2 linked regions of the Elephas maximus indicus genome follow. The protein of the gene in region 1 purifies or fractionates together with the protein of each later gene. This does not show direct contact. Links are inferred from orthologs where the notes say so. Each region holds a gene or a part of one and is shown in the gene's direction. Other genes may lie near its edges.

Region 1 (10,270 bases):
GGGTTCTATTCCAGAGAATAGAGGCTCTGAAAGTAGGTTTGGGGAAGAAATCAGTGATTACAAAAAAGGGCTGAGGATCGAAGTTCCTAAATCTTCACTCTATTTAGACACTAAAGCTCATCTTTTAGCAGCTCTGGTTCTGTTTACCTTTGTCCTAAAATATTCCCAATTGTAGACAAGGGGAGAGAAAAATGTTTTAACTTCCACATGCTGTTTCTGTTGTTAGATGTAGCCCTTGATGCTGAGAGGGGTCATTAGCCCCTCACATCATTATATTGCCCAAGCACAGGAACCTCATATCAGTTATGTTCCATACTCTGCTGAGCACAGGCTTTTGTTGGAATTTGCCCAGTGCCAAGTCTCTTTGTACCTTGACTAAACTTGGGATGAATCTGTACCCAAGACAAAATAGCAAATAAACTGGCATGCAGGAGAAGCAACATGCTTTTTAGCCTCAGCCGCCTTTCTGATCCAACTACTCCTCCCTGAACACAACAGAACATGAACAATCCTACACACCTGTAAGTATCACGTGGTTACTGCTGGCAAACAGTGAAGAGGGAGAGGCAGGAATTTTGGCCAACAGTGACACGTGCAGGTCTCCTCCTTGCCTTGCACCAGGTTACCCAATAGGCAGACTGGGCACGTGGTTAGGGCACCAGCAAAGCAGGAACACCTTAAAAGATGTTTGTTGAAAGAATTTACTTTTTGAAGAAAAAAATTAAGTAGTCCTCATGGGAAACAATCAGAATTTTGTTAGACTTCTTACATTCAGTTTACATTCTACTGTTTCGGAAAATTGCTTTTGCAAAGGGATAACTCTTTCCAAGGCTTACCAGTTGCTGTGGAGGTGATTCCGGCTCATGGCAACCTCGTGTGTGCAGAGTAGGACTGTGCTCCATAGGACTTTCAAGGCTCTGATGGTTTGGATGCAGATTGCCAGGCCTTTCTTCCAAGGCACTTCTGGGTGGCTTCAAAGCGCCCACCTTTGGGATAGTAGTTGAGCTCTTAACCATTTATGCTACCCAGGGACCTCTTTCAGGGTTTTGTTGTTGTTGTTGTTGCCTTCCAGAGAGCAGACCTACACTTTCCTGTATTGACACAGTCCAGCCCCCGCCTCTGCTAACGCAGAGAAGCAGAGACCCCTTGATGCCACAGGAGCTGAAGGTAGGCGCCCTCTCCCAAAGCACCATTACGATGTCATGCCTTGGCTGAAAAAGAGGTTGTAAACTCGGGGCCTGCGGGCTTTAACTGGCCAAAAGATTTTTAAAACTGCATTTTTTTTTTTCCTTTGGTCTTCACAATGTTTTAAAAATTGGAAAATTTCACATGAAAATTCTTTTTCCTGATTTTTTTTTTCTTTAATGATGGAATATCAGTCCTGAGCTCAAAGTCCTGCATAGCAAAAATTACCTGAGCTGAGCATGAGGGATGTGCACTCCGTGGTCTAGGTTGTGAGAGAGACCACCACTCCCTTGGACTCACGTGGTCTCTTCACTCATCTATGAAACCTGCCTGGCTCCTAAGGGTGGGAAGATGTTGGAAATTGAGATCCCTTAAAGATTGAATTTCCGTTAAACTGCACAACCTCTAGCAAGGGGAGTACAGTCAGCCTTTGTCAGTCTTATCTTCACTCTGAATGAAAGTCCTGACAGCTGTTTTTCTGTGGGGAAACGTCCATAGTTTGGGTGCTGTAGGTTCTGAGAGGAATGTAGGCGCTTGATAATCACACTAAGAAAAAATAGGACTAAGCATGAGGTTGGCACCAGAATACCAATTCGGCATTTCAAAATGGAGCTGAAGTGCTCATTAGGAGTTTTCCTGCCTGGCTTGCCCCTCAGAGACTCTGCCATGGCTCCTCCCTCCCAGCCTGGCTGCCCTGAGTGGTAGAAAGCGGAATTCAGCAATTCAATTTGCTGGGACCAAAACAATTTAGGTTTAATTGGCCCGGGCAATTGGCACAGACCACCCTGCCCATGATGTTAAGAAAAGTCCAGGACGTAGGACCACCTGACTGAACTTACAGAAGCTCTCCACCATGCCAGGCCACCAGGCACTTGGGGCAGTGGGTTCAGTCCCCACTGCATTTCCCATCAAGGGAAGAGCCCACGAAGGGATGCTGCTCCTTTCCCACTGGAGTGCTCTTTCCTGCCCACAGTGAGGCTCAGGATGGTCCTCCTTTCCCACTGGAGTGCTCTTTCCTGCCCACAGTGAGGCCCAGGAGAGTGTGTTCCTTTCCCATCGAAATGCTCCTTCCTGCCTACAATGAGGCTCAGAATGGTGCTCATTTCCCACCGGAGTGCTCCTTCCTGCTCACAGTGAGGCCCAGGGAGCATCACTGCCACCCTGTTATTCCTTCCGGCTTCATCCAGGGCTAAAATACAAAGCAACTTCAGGGTGTAATATATTATTTTGCCTTCTGCATTAAAAAAGGGGGGGGGGGAATGAAATTATAACTTAGTTGTCTAAGGTTTTAACATCTTTAAAATGGTCAAGTTTAGCTGAAATGTTTGACATTGAGGTGGGGAGAAATAATCTAATCTTCCCCTGCCCCTGCTCATGCTTTCTGATTTCCAAGAGTGTTCTTTTTTCCTCCAGGTTGTAATGTTTGTTGATTTGTGATACGGAGAAAACCTGTTGGATCATATTATTCAAAACTGTTTCCTAGAGCTGCAGGAAAACAAAAGGTACCTTCTGTGAATCCCTACTGTAAAGACAGGTCATCAGGGCCCAGTACCTCCTAAAATGTAAAAAAGTGCTGCGACAAATCAGGAAACTCCTGGGCCTAACTCTTACCACTAGGTGTCACTCTAAACAATCAGGAATAAAAACCACCGGTCCTGAAGGAGGTGCAAAGAAATTTAGTCTAGTACATGGAATTGATTTGACAGCACACAACCACCACCCGCATCACGTTATAGGGTCACTGAGTCGGAATCAACTCGACAGCAATGAGTTTGGTTTTTGAGAACCTATTATTCCTGAGAAAATTTTCACTTAGGCATGATTTTCATTCTAATAATCATTTTTAAACCTGCAGTTAAAAATCCTCCACTAACATCTGGGGTCTTCGATGCCAGCAAGTGGCCATCTAAGATGCATCAATTGGTCTCAACCCACTGGGAGCAGAGGAGAATGAAGAACACCAAAGACACGGCGTGATTATGAGCCCAAGAGACAGAAAGGGCCACATAAACCAGAGACTACATCAGCCTGAGACCAGAGAACTAGATGGTGTCTGGCTACAACAGATGACTGCTCTGACAGGGAACACAACAGAGAACTCCCCAGGGAGCAGGAGAGCAGTGGGATGCAGACCCAAATTCTCATAAGAGAGACCAGACTTAATCATCTGACTGAGACTAGGACCCCGGAAGTCATGATCCCCAGACCTTCTGTTAGCCCAAGACAGGAACCATTCCTAAAGCTAACTCTTCAGGCAGGGATTGGACTGGACCATGGGATAGAAAATGATACTGGTGAAGAATGAGCTTTCTTGGATCAAGTAGACACACGAGACTATGTTGGCATCTCCTATCTGAAGGTGAGATGAAAGGGTAGAGAGGGTCAGAACCTGGCCGAATGGACACAAAAAGAAATAGAGGAGGTCTCCTGCCTGGAGGGGAGATGAGAGGGTAGAGGGGGTTAGCAAACCAAAAAACTAAACCCAGTGCCGTCGAGTCGATTCCGACTCATAGCGACGAAGCTAGCAAAATGGACATGAAAAGAGAGAGTGGAGGGAGAGAGCAGGCTGTCTCATTAAAAAAAAAAGGGGGGGGGGGAGGGTAATTGGGAGTATGTAGCAAGGTGTATATAAGTTTTTGTGTGAGAGACTGACTTGATTTGTAAACTTTCACTTAAAGTACAATAAAAATTAAAAAAAAAAAAACAGGGAAGGAGTGTGCTGTCTCATTACGGGGAGAGCAATTAGGAGTATACAGCAAGGTGTTTATAAATTTTTGTATGAGAGTCCAACGTGATTTGTAAACTTTCACTTAAAGCACAATTAAAAAAAAAATCCTCCACTAAGGTATTCTTTATAAATGGAGTATTTAGAGTTCAACATTGCTATGCACTTTTTTAAAGGAGTAAATATCCCCAGACAGAAATAACACCTACTCTCTGTTTTTTACCTGACAGAGTAGAAAACACGTGGAGTACCTTCCAATCGTAGTGTATTCAGTCCTGTTTCCACAATGTGTTTGCACAAAGTGTCAATACTATGACTGCTTTGGCCAAATGGTTAACATAATGGCATAAAAATTTGATAAATTGCCGTTGGACACCTGGGTAAATTACTCTGCATTTCAGTTTCTTTTTAGGAAATTAGGAACAATGTCTATCTTACAGACTAGTTTTGAGAACTAACAATGTGATGCATAAAGTGTTGGAGTCCTTCCAAAAATGTATACTTTGATATTTCCAAGAGCCATGGTCACCCTTACAAAACAGGGTTAGACATGCGTTTGTGGCAAAGTAATACAATTTTTAAGCTGGAAAAGACCTTAAGTAACATTAAATTCAGTCTTACTATTTTCCAAGTGAGTATACCACAGAAGAGTTAACTGATTTCAATATGCAGTTAACTAGAGGCAGAGCCTGGCACTGAGATCTACTTACACTCCCTGTAATATGCCTCAATAATCGCAAATTTGCATATTATATGCCTGCAGACAATGCAGTTTTCACCTTAACATGTTGTAATTGCTACCTTAAAGCTTTTATTTCACGATTTTAGTTCAGGGTTTTTTCCCCCCTCATACTTAGTCTCTCACCCCATTGACCCTGACTCCCCACATTCAGATATGGGGGAGGTGGCGATGGGGAGAGGAGAATGGTTGGTCAGTACACAGCCAGTGAAGGTAAAGATAATTGAAATAATCACCAGAAAACTCTGCAAAACTAGAGGCCTCCTGGCGCTAAATCTGAAGAACTCTGATCTAAGTTGCTTTATTTTGCATGGGTCAATTCTAGCAGTACCCATTAACCCACTGCCGTCAAGTGGATTCTAACCCTATAGGACAGAGTAGAACTGCCCCACAGAGACTCTAAGGATCACCTGTTGGATTCGAACTGCCGACCTTTTGGTCAGCAGCCATAGCACTTAACCATTACGCCACCAGGGTTTCCATCCAATTAAAGCAGTAGATGAATTCAATTCATAGCTTGCTGATTAGGAGGTGAGGGTGGGGGCAGCAAGCATAAATTCTATTTCTGCAGATGAAATCGATGAATGCTGAGCACAAACCCCTTTATCTCTAGAGTGACTAAGGTGGATGGGTACAACCACTGCCCTCCCTCAGCGCAAGGGCAGCAAGTACGAGCCAGCAGGGGCAGGATGGGGCAGTGTTAGGGCTGTCTTAGGGCCTTCTGCAGGATGCATAACCGTTACTTTCTTAGCCATCCTTAAGGCCTAATCTTGGGTAAGACACCGTTGAACCCATTCTTCAGCATCCTTCTCCAAATGCTCCTGGAAAATCACCCAGCTGGCACCCAGAAGCAGGTTTTCGGGTCCATTTTCTGCAGCAACACAATGCAAATCAGAGAGAGAGACCTCAATAGTTACTTCGTTATTGCAAGATAGCTATGAAGATTAACGCCTTGCTCTACCTGAAATAATTCTGATCATATTTAACACTTTCCCACTTATTGGGGCAAGCACTTTCCCAGTCAACAAGACTGTTAATCCCGAGGAAACGATCTGAGGGTTCTCCACGCATTTAGGCTTTTAACACCAAAGTTTTCACAACTTCTACCTGGGAAAGCTAAATGTCCCTGCATTGCAAAGAGCCTACTATTGGCAGAATCCCAGAGGGGCCAGCGACAAGAGAACCTTCCCTGCAGAGAGAAGTTTGGGGAAATGAATCCCTATACCCAGCCATCATTTCCACTCTTGCGTTTTCAAAAGATCAAAAAACGGAAAGGACCGGCAGACTGGCAAACCCCAACGAGGAACCGTCCAGCTGGTCTGCGTCCTTGGGATCTCAGACGACCCCAAATCAAGCTGATCGAGGGAAACCCCAAGGAAAGAAGGTTTTTTTTGCAGAGGGCCGGGATTACTGAGTGCTGGCTGCAGGGAAGTACCTGGGGGAGGGGGCTTGGTCGGGAGGACTTTCCAGCCACTCAGCGCTCATCAAAAAGTTCCCTGTACATGACCCTAGTGGCTCATCGCAGGGAGTTTCTCTGTTGAACCCCGGCACAGGGTTTAGGCTTCTTTTTCCCCCTAGCAGAGGACGAGGCCAGTTCTCATTTCTGGTCTGACTAGCTTGGAAATTCCCCGCTCTTGACCCCGCCCCGGAGAAATCCCGGGCCAGCGTTTATAGGGCGCCGCGGCGGCGCTGCCGAGCCCACAACAGTCCTAACCCGCCGACCTGCCCGCGAGCGACACTACAAGGAAGCGCGCAGCCCGCGGCCGAGCGCACCTGGGGAGCAACGTCTGAAGCTTTCACCGCGCCATGTTTCAGCCTGCCGAGCACCCCCAGGAGTGGGCCATGGACGGCCCTCGGGACGGGCTCAAGAAGGAGCGGCTGCTGGACGACCGCCACGACAGCGGCCTGGACTCCATGAAGGACGAGGAGTACGAGCAGATGGTGAAGGAACTGCGCGAGATCCGCCTGGAGCCGCAGGAGGCGCCGCGCGGAGCCGAGCCCTGGAAGCAGCAGCTTACGGAGGACGGAGACTCGTAAGTGTCGAGGGGCTAGGCGGCGGGGTGGGTGGGGGGACGCTGGACGCGCGGGGCCGCGGGGCGGGGGGGGGCGCCGGGCCTGCAGCCTGAGCCGCCAGCGCCCGCGGTGCAGCAGGGCCAGCGCACGGCCGTGAGCCCGGGATTATGCACAGTCCCTGAAACCTTGCAAGGCTGCACGTCTGCGCGTGCAGGGTACGGGGGATTCGGGCTCAGACCCTGGGGGCCGCGGTTCAGCAGCTCTGCTCTACAGCGGCAGTTCCACACACACCCCTAGCCGGGTCTGGGTCCTCCCGGCCGGGGGCGGGGCGGCGGTGAGGAGGCGAAGTCCCCAGTTGCATAAGGGGGGGCGGGAGTTTCTGTCCCGCTGGCGGGCGCCGCGCGGCCGGGAGGGGAAGTACAGGGCGTTCCGGCCTGGCGGGAGGGCGGGGCGGTCTGGCCGGCGCCCGCCGAGTAGGGAGGGGGGGCCCGGAAAGTCCCTGGGCGCCTGCCAGGAACACTCAGCTCATAATAACCTCGCGGAAAACACCGCGGCCTCGGCCTACAGAAACCCCGGCCTTGCGCAATCCCCCGCAGCCCGCGCCTCCCTGGGCCCCACGCAGTGCACTCACCACCCCTGGGGGTTTTTCCCTCTCTTCCCCTCAGGTTCCTGCACTTGGCCATCATCCATGAAGAGAAGGCACTGACGATGGAAGTGATCCGCCAAGTGAAGGGAGACCTAGCCTTCCTCAACTTCCAGAACAACCTGCAGCAGGTGCGCGGCTTGCCAGCCCTGTGCCCTTTCTGACCCTGTGGTGGAGCTGGATTAACAAAGTGGCTCTGGCACAGTTGCCCCCAAATCCTTTCTAAATTAAGTCATCAGTCATTATCTGCCCTAGCCTTTTACAGTTAAACCAATGAGCATCCAACAGGGTAAAGAAAACCCCATTGATTTGGTGAGGCTTTTATGGCCCACCTAGGGCCTCTGGTCTTTCCTCACCCCCTGGAGCAGTGCCCAAACCAGGAGATGTCTGGGGTCCAAGGGAGCCCAGATTGCACGTTTGGTTCATGGCTTATCCTCTTTCTGTTCTTTCTTCTGCTTGTAGACTCCACTTCACTTGGCTGTGATCACCAACCAGCCAGAAATTGCTCAGGTTCTTCTGGGAGCTGGCTGTGATCCTGAGCTCCGAGACTTTCGAGGAAATACCCCCCTACACCTTGCCTGTGAGCAGGGCTGCCTGGCCAGTGTAGGAGTTCTGACACAGACCCGTCCAACCCAGCACCTCCACTCCATCCTGCAGGCCACCAACTACAATGGTGAGTGGGCCACCCCGCCCCACCAGAGGGCAGGTGACGTGGAGCGGGGGAGGTGGGCAGACAACAACAGTTCACCCACTTAAGGAGCCCAGGCAAGAGCTTCAACTTCCAACATGGGAAAGGCTGAGAAAATATGTATGAAAAATTGCCTATATGATGCGTTTATAAATAAGGTTCATTCAGAACCCAGATTCAGAAGACATGCCTGTTTGTCCCTTAAAAGAATAGGTGAAAGACTCTACTTGAGGTGTAAGGATTGAAACAAGTGGTCATATTTTTTCTGTTTGTTCTTCTAGGTCACACATGTCTGCACTTGGCCTCTATCCATGGCTATCTGGCCATTGTGGAGCATTTGGTGTCCCTGGGTGCTGACGTCAATGCTCAGGTGAGTGCTTCATGCCTCCAGGTGGAGTGAACCAGCCACCAGCACCCTGAATAAGACTTGTTGCAAGCAGAAATCCAAACTCAGCCATAAGCATCTTGAATTCCTTTTGGTTTCAGGAGCCCTGTAACGGCCGGACCGCCCTCCACCTTGCAGTGGACCTGCAGAATCCTGACCTGGTGTCACTCTTACTGAAGTGTGGGGCTGATGTCAACAGAGTTACCTACCAGGGCTACTCTCCATACCAGCTCACCTGGGGCCGCCCAAGCACCCGGATACAGCAACAGCTGGGCCAGCTGACCCCGGAAAACCTGCAGAGGCTGCCAGAGAGTGAAGATGAGGAGAGCTATGACACGGAGTCAGAGTTCACAGAGGATGAGGTGAGTCTTGACTGAACTTCTTCAACCTCCAACAGTCTGCAGAAACTGAGAATAGTTATTCTTCTTTCACCCTCTTGTGTCCCAAGAGCTACTCTTTATCATAAGGGTCTCAACATAGTAAAGTTCTCAAACTTAGTATTCGTGGCCAGTATCCCAGGAGCAATCTTTTTCGATACAGCTTACCCTTTTATAAGGAAAGGAGCCCGTAAAGTTAATTTATATTGGGGTTATAGAGAATGGAGTCCAAGGATACTTGAGTTATTTCCAATAGGGGGACCTCTCTGCATCATCCCAGTGTCCTTGATGAAGCTCTCAAAGTTTAACATGCCATTTTTCCTCTTGTTTTTAGCTGCCCTATGATGACTGTGTGCTTGGAGGCCAGCGCCTGACGTTATGAACAGAAAGTGTCTAAAGAAACATGGACTTGTATATTTGTACAAAAAGAGAGTTTTATTTTTCTAAAAAAAAAAAAAGAAAAAAAAAAATGTAAAGGGCATACTGATAGCCACACTGCATACTGCCTGGCTCAAAACATATTCCTGTGACGGGTCAGCCCTCATTTTGTAATTTGTGTGAATTCTGTGTGTGGGACAAGAAAGATCAGTGGAATCCAAAGGAAGCCTCACCTTTGTAGGGATTTTTTGGAGAGGGTTATCCAAAACTTGATAAAAGGACCACATTTTATTTATTGTATTTTTGACTGAACCACCATGGATTTCGTGGCTGACCCCAGTTGTATTCTGTGACGTGTAACAGCCAGGTGTGTTGTTAAACTTTGGGCAGTGTGGGATTGAAACCTTGAACTGCTGCTTGTCAAGGTTCGTGTTGCCCTCCCTCCTGTAAATGATGTACATAGTGTATTTTGTTGGTAATTATTTTGGTACTTATAAGATGTATATTTATTAAACAGATTTTTACAGAGTTGCCCTGATGACTTCCTTTGGGTTGTGCGTTTACAGAAGGCAAAAAAAAAAACCAAACCCATTGCCATTGAGTCAATTCCAACCCATAGTGACCCTATAGGATAGAGTAGAACGGCTCCGTAGAGTTTTCAGGGAGCGCCTGGTGGATTCAAACTGCTGACCCTTTGATTAGCAGGCATAGCTTTTAACCACTATGCCACCAGGGTTTCCCCATAGGGTTTACAAAGCTGTAAAGGTTCACAGAAGCAGACTGCCACATCTTTCTCCTGAAGCTCATACATAGTTCCTTACCGAGGGCACGGGCTCCTAGTCTGAGAGTCATTTGATCCTCAGGTGAAGGTGGAGGTGTGGGAGTGCTCCCTACAGCCAGCTACGTAACCCTTTCGGAAAGTAGCTTCTCACGCTGTACACACCAGCCTCCCAGCCTGGCGCGTGGGAGGCTGTTGCAAGAGCAATAGGAAACTCCAGTCTCGGGCTTGGGGTTGGGGGGGCAGCATGCTGCTTGGCCTGTAGCTGGAAGTTTTCTCCACTGTCACTTGCTTTCATTCCCTTGGTTTGAGCTGTTGCAGGACCCTCTCACTTAAATTATTTTGGCAAAGAGAAATAT
Region 2 (10,293 bases), on another chromosome or scaffold:
ATCATTTCCTAAATGCTTTTTAAATGTAATATGGCCTTTACCTTAAGTTCAGAACTAATTAGAATTTGATAACAAGAATCTCGATAATCTGCTCCTAATGTGGTGTCATTTTCAATAACTTTTTCCTTGACATTAAATTTGTCAATGTGTTTCCAAATGTATTATTAGGAGTTCTTAATTTTAGCTTAGTTTCCACCCACATGCCAAAAACATCCCTCACAGTTAATTGTTCACTTTGCAATCTTTTTCTTTAAAGGTTTTAAAATTTCCAAAATTAATTTCTTATGCCCACTCATCATTAGAAAAGTAATATTTCATATTATTCTCAGCTAACACTTTGAAGAATAAGGGAGATCGAAGAATTACTGATGCCTTTGAATTATGGTGTTGGCAAAGAATATTGAGTATACCATGGACTGCCAAAAGAATGAACAAATCTGCTTTGGAAGAAGTACAACCAGAATGCTCCTTAGAAATAAGAATGGCAAAACTACGTCTCATATACTTTGGACATGTTATCAAGAGGAACTAGTCCCTGGAGAAGGATACCATGCTTGGTAAAGTAGAGAGTCAGCAAAAAAAGAGGAAGACCTTTAACAAGATGGATTGACAGAGTGGCTGCCACAATGGGTTCAAGCATAATAACAATTGTGAGGATGGTGCAGGACCAGGCATTGTTTCCTTCTGTTGTACATAGGGTTGCTATGAGTCGGAACCAATTCTACAGCACCTAACAATAATATATTGCAAAAAATATTGCATCCTGGTAATATTTCTAACACGGGGTTCATACCGTTGCATCTTGTTGGGCGATCCGGTACAGGTTTCTTTAACTTATTTTTTGAAAATTTGGTAGGCAATGTCGGAATATGCATTATCCAAATGAGTTTGCAGCCTACTCTTAAAAATTCTTCCAGCTCAGCATCTTCCATTGCTTATTTAATAACTAAGCAAAGTGTGTGTTCATCACACTTTATACCATAATACCATACTATAATCTTATAAACCGTGTTGCTTTCACTTCACTCTACAGTGGTTAATGTCTGCAAGTCAAAGTGTACAAAGTCAGAATCTTTGAAACTCATTTTTGCCTGAAATTTGCCATTTGATTTCACTATCATTTCTGAGCAAATCAACAAATTCAATCATATTAGAGCTATTATCCGTGATTACAGAATAAATCTGTTGTAAATCAATGTACTTCTCTAAAAATTTGATACAGTGTGTTTTTTAGGTACAGAGCTCTGTGTCTTTTAATTCTTTCCCAGTGTCTCAACAGATGTATCTTACTATCTTGTGCAAACTGAGCATTAATTCCTAGAATTAACCAACTCAATCTACTGGCAACATCCACCTTCAAAGAGAATGTTCATTTTTCCAGATCACTACTAATTTTGGGTGTGCTGATTTATTTTATTGGAAGCCCCGCTTTACAACATACTTGTAAATTTATTCCACACCTTTTGAAGAAAAATCTTATTTCATAGTGATGCCATCAAATTGCTTTCAGTGAAATAATGGCATGTCACAATTGAAACATTAATTTCCCTTCCACCATTTACTGATACTTGTTAACATTTCGATTTGTGATATAAATACCAAATTTAAACCTGTATGGACAAAGAATATGCAATAGTACATTTAAATCAAAATTTAATACAAGAATGGAATCATCATAAACAAATCATGCTATATTCACACAATGTAATACTATGCAAGCATAAAGAACAACGATGAATCTCTGAAACGGCTCATAACATGGATGAATCTGGAAGGCATTACGCAAATGAAGTTAGTCACAAAAGGACAAATATTGTATGAGACCACTATTATAAGAACTCAAGAAAAAGTTTAAACACAAAAGAAAACATTCTTTGATGGTTACAAGGGTAGGGAGGGAGGGTGAGGAGTATTCACTAACTAGATAACTCATAACCCATCTCTGTCAACTTGATTCCGACTCATAGCGATCCTATAGGGCAGAGTGGAGCTGCTCCACAGAGTTTCCAAGGAGTGCCTGGTGGATTTGAACTGCATTTGAACTGGATTTGGTTAGCAGCTGCAGCAATTAACCTCTACACCACCAGGGTTTCCCACTAACTAGGTAGTAGACAAGAATTATTTTAGGTGAAGGGGAGGACAACTCACAATACAGGAGAGGTCAGCACAACTGGACTAAACCAGAAGCTAAGAAGTTTCTTGAATATAACCAAACACTTTGACGGACAGAGTGGCAGGGGCAGGGGTCTGGGGACCACGGTTTCAGGTGACATTTAGGCCAATAGGCATAACAAAGTTTATTAAGAAAAATGTTCTGCATCTGACTTCGGTGAGTGGTGTCTGGGATCTTAAAAGCTAGCAAGCAGCCGTCTAAGATACATCAATTGCTCCCAACCCACCTGGAGCAAAGGAGAATGAAGAACATTAAAGAGACAAGGAAAATATGAGCCCAAGAGACAGAAAGGGCCATATAAACTACAGAGACTCCATCAGCCTGAGACCGGAAGAACTAGATGGTGCCTGGCTACCACCAATAACTGCCCTGACAGGAAACATAATAGAGAGTCCCTGATGGTGCAGGAGAAAAGTGGGATGCAAACCTCAAATTCTAGTCAAAAGACCAGACTTAATGGTCTGACTGAGATTGGAGGGACCCCAGAGGACATGGCCCCAGGACTCTCTGTTAGCCCAAAACTAAAACCATTCCCAAAGCCAATCTTCAAAGATTAGACTGGACTGTAAGACATAAAATGACACTGGTGAGGAGTGTGCTTCTTAGCTCAAGTAGATATATGAGACTATGTGGGCAGCTCCTGTCCGGAGGCAAGATGAGAAGGAAGAGGGCGACAGAAGCTGGTTAAATGGACACGGGAAATACAGGGTGGAGAGGAGGAATGTGCTGTCACATTATAGGAAGAGCAACTAGGGCCACATAGCCATGTGTGTGTAGGTTTTTGTATGAGAAATTGATGTGAATTGTAGACTTTTGCTTAAAGCACAATTAAAAAAGAAAGAGAATGGAATCATCAAAAAATTATGCACCATTTTTTTCTTTTTTTATTTTACTTTAGATGAAGATTTACAGAACAAAATAGCTTCTCATTAAAGAGCTCACATATTATTTTGTGATATTGGTTAACAACCCCATTGCATGTCAAAAACTCTCCCTTCTGGACCTTGGGTTCCCTATTACCAGCTTTCCTGTTCCCTCCTGCCTTCTTGTCCTTGCCCCTGGGCTGGTGTGCACCTTTAGTCTTGCTTTGGTTTAGGGGCCTGTCTAACGTTTGGCTGAAGGGTGAACCTCAGGAGCGACTTCATTACTGAGCTAAAAGGGTGTACAGGGGCCATACTCTCAGGATTTCTCTAGTCTCTGTCAGACCAGTAAGCCTGGTCTTCTTTTTTTTTTTTTTTTGTATGTTAGAATTTTGTTCTACATTTTTCCCCAACTCTGTCTGGGACCCTCTATTGTGATCCCTGTTAGAACCATCAATGATGGAGATTTTTTATTTCTTGAATTTAAATATCACACTTAAAAAATGTGAATAATGTGTATTTAAATGTTTGCTCACTTGGCAAACTTCCATTCAAATGAAACTCTGTTCAGAACTCGATGCAGTTTAACCAGCTTCTTCAGATTTCTAACTGCAAGTGTTCTCAACTGCTGAGTGTTTCTCACATTCTTGGTAGGCACAGCTTGCATTACTGTGAGAGGGGTCAAGCACGGAGTGGAAACCGTGAGCTCTGACTGTCCTGTGAATCATATCCTGGGTAGCAGCAGTCATCGCCTATAGCTGCAACTGCACAACGTTGCTTGCTGAATCAATGAACTGTGCCCTTACCAGCCATATGCCAGAGAAACATTCGGCATACATGGGTGCCAGATGCAAATCAAACAAATGGTCCAATGGTCTTGTTTACAACTTAAAAATTATTGTTGAATGAAAAATAGCAGAGCTAAGAAAATAATGGTTTTTTTATTTTGGATGAGATTCAGAAAAACATTTTTTTAATTTGGGTTTATGTTTTGCTCCAGCTATAATTTTGGGTTTAATGGTCTCAGGGAACATCTAGCTCAATTGGCATAACACAGTTTATGAAGAAAATGTTCTATATTCTAGAAGAAAACCAAAGACACAAGGGAAAGATTAGTCCAAAGGACTAATGGACCACAAGCACCACAGCCTCCACTAGACTGAGTCCAACAAAACTAGATGGTGCTTGTCTACCCTACCACCACTGACTACTCTGACAGGGATCACAATACAGGGTCCCGGACACAGCTGGAGAAAAATGTAGAACAAAATTCTAACTCCCTGCCCCTGCCCCCAAAAAAGACCAGACTCACTGGCCTGACAGAGACTGGAGAAACCCCTAAAGTATGGCCCCCAGACACCCTTTTAGCTCAGTAATGAAGTCACTTCTGAGGTTCACCCTTCATTCAAAGATTAGACAGGCTCATAAAATAAAACAATACCAAAATGGCACACCAGCCCAGGGGCAAGGACTAGAAGGCAGGAGGGGACAGGAAATGTGGTAATGGGGGACCCAGGGTCAAGAGGGGCAAGTGTGGACACATCGTAGGGTTGGCAACCAATGTCATAAATCAATATGTGTATTAATTGTTTAATGAGAAACTAATTTTCTCGGTAAACTTCATCTAAAGTACAACAATAACAACAAAAACAGTTTGAACAACATTGAGATGAAGATCACTACACTTGAACAACATGAGTTTCTTAACTGGTAGAATGAACCTCACCTATACAAAATAAAACTATAGCAATTATTCCAATATGGTTATAAGTTCCTGACTCATAGATATGAGTCAAAAAATTCTTTAAGCTAGGATTAGCTGGTTTTTCTGTGGGTAATAAACAATACCAAAATATTATAATGCTTTAATATTATAAAAATTGATTTCTCAGTACCTTCTATCGCTCTCATGTCAGTTAAAGTGGGAGGATTCCTGGTCCCACCCTGTCAGTCAGAGACCCGTGTTATGGAGCCTCTTCCATCTTGTAGCTGCACCATTGGCGTATGCAGTCAGAGCAAGAGCAAGGTAGACTCAGGGCACAAAAACATGTGCAAACAATGTAAAGTGATTCACTTCTATTTTTTGAATGATGGTGTACATATCAAACTTTTTCCTAAGGATGAAAAGAAAAAAAAAAAAGCCTTGTACATGTGAGTGTGACTCAGTGAAAAATTACACTTAAATAGCACCGTCTATTAACTGCTATGTCCTTACCTGCATTATGAGTTGCTGGCTTGCATGACAAAGATTAAATTGAACCTCTAGTAGTCTATGAAATGCTTCCTCTTCCAACCTGCCAAAATAAGGAACAGAAACTTGTTAATTAACAGATGGACTTGTAAAATTCATAGATATTATAGCCTAGTTTTTTTTTTTTTTTAATTGATTCTCTCCTCCGGGAGACTGTGTTATAAGTGGTCAGGTGCCAAGCCTTTCTGGATCAATATTTTACCCTTAGTGACTTGCACAGCCTGAATACAGAATATCTAAGAATACAAATAATTCACATTCTGAGTTCTCAGGCAAACTGTGGGGATGATATAATTGTGATTTACATTTTTCTTATTCAAATATTTTTGCCAGAGTACAGCTAGGATAAAGCCCAGTGCCATAGAGTCAACTCCGACTCATAGCGACCCTATAGGACTGAGTAGAACTGCCCCATAGGGTTTCCAAGGAACTCCTGGTGGATTCAAACTGCCGACCCTTTGGTTAGCAGCTGTAGCACTTAACCACTATGCCACCAGGTTTTCCCCACAGCTCGGATAGGAATAAAAAATGTAGTAGCTGGGCTCCTAGCTGCCCATGTACCAGAAAGTGTTAAAGTCTAACCCCTCCTTCAGGCCCCTGGGGAGTGGCTTCCCTCTAAAGTTTCACTTCAGCTTCCTGTTTTCGATAATTTAACTTTCATTTCTCTACTTTGTGAGCATTAAGCCCCTGGTTTGGTGAGTAAATCTAGACCATCCTGTCCCTGACCTGCCTCCATTCTTCCACATGGAGTCACAGCTTTTCTGCTTGAACCTGAAGGTGTGTGAGGTAGTTTGTAGGGGCAGAGATTGGGAGACTTCAAGGGAAAAGGGTTGATTATGCTTGGCTGAGCTTGATTTAGGGTCTGGAAGCTGCTCTGAATTGAAAAAATAGAGCCAGTTTGCTGGCTTCCTGCAGGGGTCGAATCTGGGGGATGGGCAGCCTTTAATGAAGACGGGTTTGGAAAAGCAAAGGGGCTTGTTTTTTTCCTGTTCCCATTGCCATTGAGTCAGTTCTGACTCATAGTGACCCTACACGACAGAGTAGAACTGCTCTATAGGGTTTCCAAGCAGCAGCTGGTAGATTCAAACTGTCAAATTTTTGGTAAGCAACCCATACTTCTTAATCACTGTGCCACCAAGGGCTCCTTGTAAAAAATTGTAGGGACCATTATTTTCCAGGCTGAAACCACACCCATCTCCTTCCTTTTCTTTCCAAGCCAAAGGGAGCCAGAATAGTCTTTTTTGTCAGAGGCCAGCAGAAAATCTCTTCCCAGCAAACTAAAGTGCCTGGTCTATGAGTGGATTAAGTTTTTAAGGGGAGGGGGCACAACTTGAACCAAAGGTGTCATATGTTACATAGTGAAAGTAAGAGGACGATGGCAAATGTATAATGAGTGGTGGACGATGGCAAATGTATAATGAGTGGTGGTTGGTTGTGGGTGTAAGTTAGCCACCACAGGTCGTGTGAGGAGAAAGTTGAATGAAGTATAAACATGAGTTGTGCAAGTATTGGGTGGTGGATCATTCCATGAAGAGAGAAAAGCTAAGTGCAAAAACCTACAGGCAGCTGTGGGTTTGGTGCTTTTAACCCTGAGCATGGTTTTTTGGTGTAGGAAAGAAAGACAGGCTGGATGAGCCTCAGAAACAGTAGGCTAAGTGAAAGAAAGCAGATGCAAAAGACCACATATTATGATTCTATTTTTATGAATTGATCAAAAATTCTATAAAATTTAAATCTATAAAGATGCAAAGGAAATTAATGATTGTCTGGGGCCAGAGGTCAGAATGGGGAGTGAACTGCTAATTGGCACCAGTTTTGTGTCTGGTGATAGAAACATTCTACCTTTGGATTGTGGTGATGGTTATGCAGCTCCATAAATTTACTAATTGAATTGTACATTTAAAATAAGTCCATTGGATGGGATGTGAATTACAATTCAGTAAAGCTCTTAAAAAAAAAAATGAATCATACGCATATCAGGGGTTGAATCACTTCCTGCAGAGAGAAGAGCAAGTGCAAAAGGAGCGGGGGGTAGTGGTGGGTTTAGTGTATATAACATAAAACCAGTGTTTTGAGATCAGGAAGAAAAGGCAAGTGGGTTACACAAGGCTCCTGATCTGTAGGGCCTCAGTTTGCCCTTCTGTCCAGTGGAAGAGAAAATAGCAATCATTGCCCTGATAAGGGTGGAATTTGTCATGTGACATAAACTGAGAGTAAAGTGTTTGAAATTATTAGAAGAAGCCCTTTCATTCTGTCACTGTCCTACTCTTCTTGTCTCTTTATGTTTCTTCATTATATTATTTTGTCCTGTCCTAAATCTCTGTACAATCAGTATCCTTTTAATCCCTACATTCCTTACAGTGCCCACTTTTACATTCCCAGCCCTGCAGGTGTTTGTGAGCAAGAAGAGACTCAGGAGCCAGGACTGGCAGAGGCTAGGAAAGCAGCGAAATGGCTTCAGTCCGGGCAGACATACAGAAGGAGGTGACCTGCCCCATCTGCCTGGAGCTCCTCACGGAACCCCTGAGCCTAGGCTGTGGGCATAGCTTTTGTCAAGCCTGCATCACTGCGAAGAATGAGGAGTCACTGACCATCAGGCCAGGAGGGGAAAAAAGCTGTCCTGTGTGCCATGCCAGCTACCAGCCTGGGAATCTATGGCCTAATCATCATCTGGCCAACATAGTGAAGAGATTCAGGGAGGCCAAGTTGAGCCCACAGGAGGGGCAAACAAGTGGTCTCTGTGTGTACCATGGAGAAAAACTTCTGTTGTTCTGTAAAAATGATGAGAAGGCCATCTGCTGGCTTTGTGTGAGGTCTCAGGAGCACTGTGGTCACCAAACGCTCCTTGTGGAGGAGATGGCCAAGAAATGTCAGGTACGGCTCAGGGTAGAGAAAGACAGGGAAGAAGGTAGCACTCAGAAATCTCCACTTTCTTCTTTCCTCACTTTTTCACCATAGAATTAAGTCCTGTGATAGCTTCCCATACTCTAATCAAGGCCTGGAGGACATTTCTGTGCATGTCTTCTATTTACATAAAAGATTAGCCTAGACTGCAGACACTTAGCCAAGAGAAGAGAAACTTGTTTTGCTTTGTTTTGTTTTCCTTTTGTTGAATGAGTAGAGAATTGCTTCCCAAAATAAATTCTTCTTGCCTTTCTGAGCAGAAGAACTACTAGAGGACATGGTTGGTCAGATGTGGGGAAGAAAGTCAATGAGAAGAAAGGATTTTCCTTGCTGCAGGATTAATTCTTCCTCTAGGACAAAAGAGAATCAGATTACTCTTTTTTTTTTTAAAATAACTGAAAATATACACAACAAAACATGCCATCTCAGCAATTTCTTCATGTATAATTCAATGACAGCGATTACATTCTTTAAGTTGTGCCACCGGTCTTGCTATCCTTTTCCAAGTCATCCCACCACCATTAACATAAACTCAGTGGAGAATCAGGGCTACTCTCGATGAGGAGATAGTGACTTCCACTACTCAGGAATAAAGAACACATTCACCTCCTCAGATTTTTGTCTGAGTCATAGATTCTAATGGCCAGTCTCACAGTTTCTGTAAACTCTGGTCTCTTCTGAGATCAGCCTGATTTCTGCACCAATGTATCCTCTGTTCAGGTGCTGAGAAAGCAGTGGTGTGATTCTGTTCTCACAGGAGAAGCTCCAGGAGACTCTCATAAGGCTGAGGAAGGAGCAGCTGGAAGCCAAGAATTTGGAAGCTCAGATTACAGAAGAGAGAGCTTCTTGGAAGGTAAGAGGAAACGCTTCCTGAGGGAGTTCTGAGACATGAATCTGGGCAGCAACTTGGGTTCTAGTCACAAGAGGCTCCTTCCTTTTTGCTCGTTTAGAATTAATGAGTACAGAAGCTATTTGATTAGTCCTTCATTCCTCCCCTGTTGGAGGTAGGGGGCTGGAGAGTGGACATATCACAAGTGAAATAAAATATTTGGAGATGAAGACTATGAGGGAAACAATTGTGAAAATGGCTTATGAATCTTCTGTCCCATTCCTTCATCAGGTTTGAGGCTCTGATATGTGCAGGAAAGATGTTGGGCAAAGGTCCAGGTTCCCAGCTTTGGGATTAAACATGGGGGTTGGGGAAGAGTGTTTTAATGCATAGATAGGCATGAGTGTCCCGGACAGGTATCTGCAATTCAAGCCTCATCAAAGTATTACATTTTGGCTCTCAGTGTACCTTAATAAAGCAGGCTCGAGGATATTGTTTTGGAACGAGGTCAAGAAAAAATTGTAGAAACAAACAGCTTCCCCTGGAATTGCTCTGTGGCTTTCACCTCCCCTCCTTGTGAGAACTCCCTGAAGAAAATAGTTCTTATCCTGGCTCCCAGCACCTTGCAAAGTAGATCCTCAACCAAACTGACAACTGACTGCCTCTTTCTCTTCCCTGTTTCCAAAGCATCAGACACAGGCTGAGAGACAAAGGATTCTGGCAGGTTTTAATGACTTGCATGCCATCCTGGACAATGAGAAGAAGAGGGAGCTGCACAAGCTGGAGGAAGAAGACGTGAAAGTTCTGGATAGCCTGGCAGCAGCTAAATACCAGCTGATCCAGCAGGACCAGGAACTGAGCGAGCTCATCTCAGATGTGGAGCGTCGGATGCAGGGGTCATCAGTAGAGATGCTGCAAGTAAGACTTGGAATGGAGCTCCTACATGTGAGATTCGGGAAAAACAGAGACCAAGTTTCCTTCCTTACTGGGTCCCTGGGCTTTCTTCCTGGTAGTGGCATTAAGAAATTCCTTTGGCCCTGTGGTGTCCCTTCATTGCCATTCATTTCAGGTGTGATGGGGGTAATTCAGTGTATGAATGGCAAGGGAAAGTATCCATTATTGTTAATTTATGAAGGGCAGTGTAAAAATTTGATCCTGGAGTTTCACTGTATCCATACCTCATATAGATTTATTCTATATGTTGCTGTTATCTGTGACCTAGTGTTGAGTGTTTGTCAGACATCTCTTTACTAGGCTTAGTCACAGGCAAATACGT

The links.
Region 2: the proteins of NFKBIA (region 1) and E3 ubiquitin-protein ligase TRIM22-like purify together in Homo sapiens (affinity purification with western blotting; 3 studies listed by BioGRID). This does not show direct contact. The link is inferred for Elephas maximus indicus from reciprocal best matches to the Homo sapiens genes NFKBIA and TRIM22.

What each region holds. Positions count from the first base shown.
Region 1 is NC_064828.1:47,725,703-47,735,972, reverse strand, and holds NFKBIA (NF-kappa-B inhibitor alpha), read left to right. Parts: upstream 1-6,330; 5' UTR 6,331-6,455; coding exon 6,456-6,682; intron 6,683-7,327; coding exon 7,328-7,436; intron 7,437-7,767; coding exon 7,768-7,978; intron 7,979-8,274; coding exon 8,275-8,363; intron 8,364-8,479; coding exon 8,480-8,740; intron 8,741-9,089; coding exon 9,090-9,137; 3' UTR 9,138-9,664; downstream 9,665-10,270. UniProt on the Homo sapiens protein: Inhibits the activity of dimeric NF-kappa-B/REL complexes by trapping REL (RELA/p65 and NFKB1/p50) dimers in the cytoplasm by masking their nuclear localization signals.
Region 2 is NC_064825.1:57,934,585-57,944,877, forward strand, and holds the start of E3 ubiquitin-protein ligase TRIM22-like, read left to right. Parts: upstream 1-5,873; 5' UTR 5,874-5,979; exon of another isoform or gene 5,980-6,061; intron 6,062-7,666; 5' UTR 7,667-7,735; coding exon 7,736-8,158; intron 8,159-8,945; coding exon 8,946-9,041; intron 9,042-9,704; coding exon 9,705-9,935; intron 9,936-10,293. UniProt on the Homo sapiens protein: Interferon-induced E3 ubiquitin ligase that plays important roles in innate and adaptive immunity.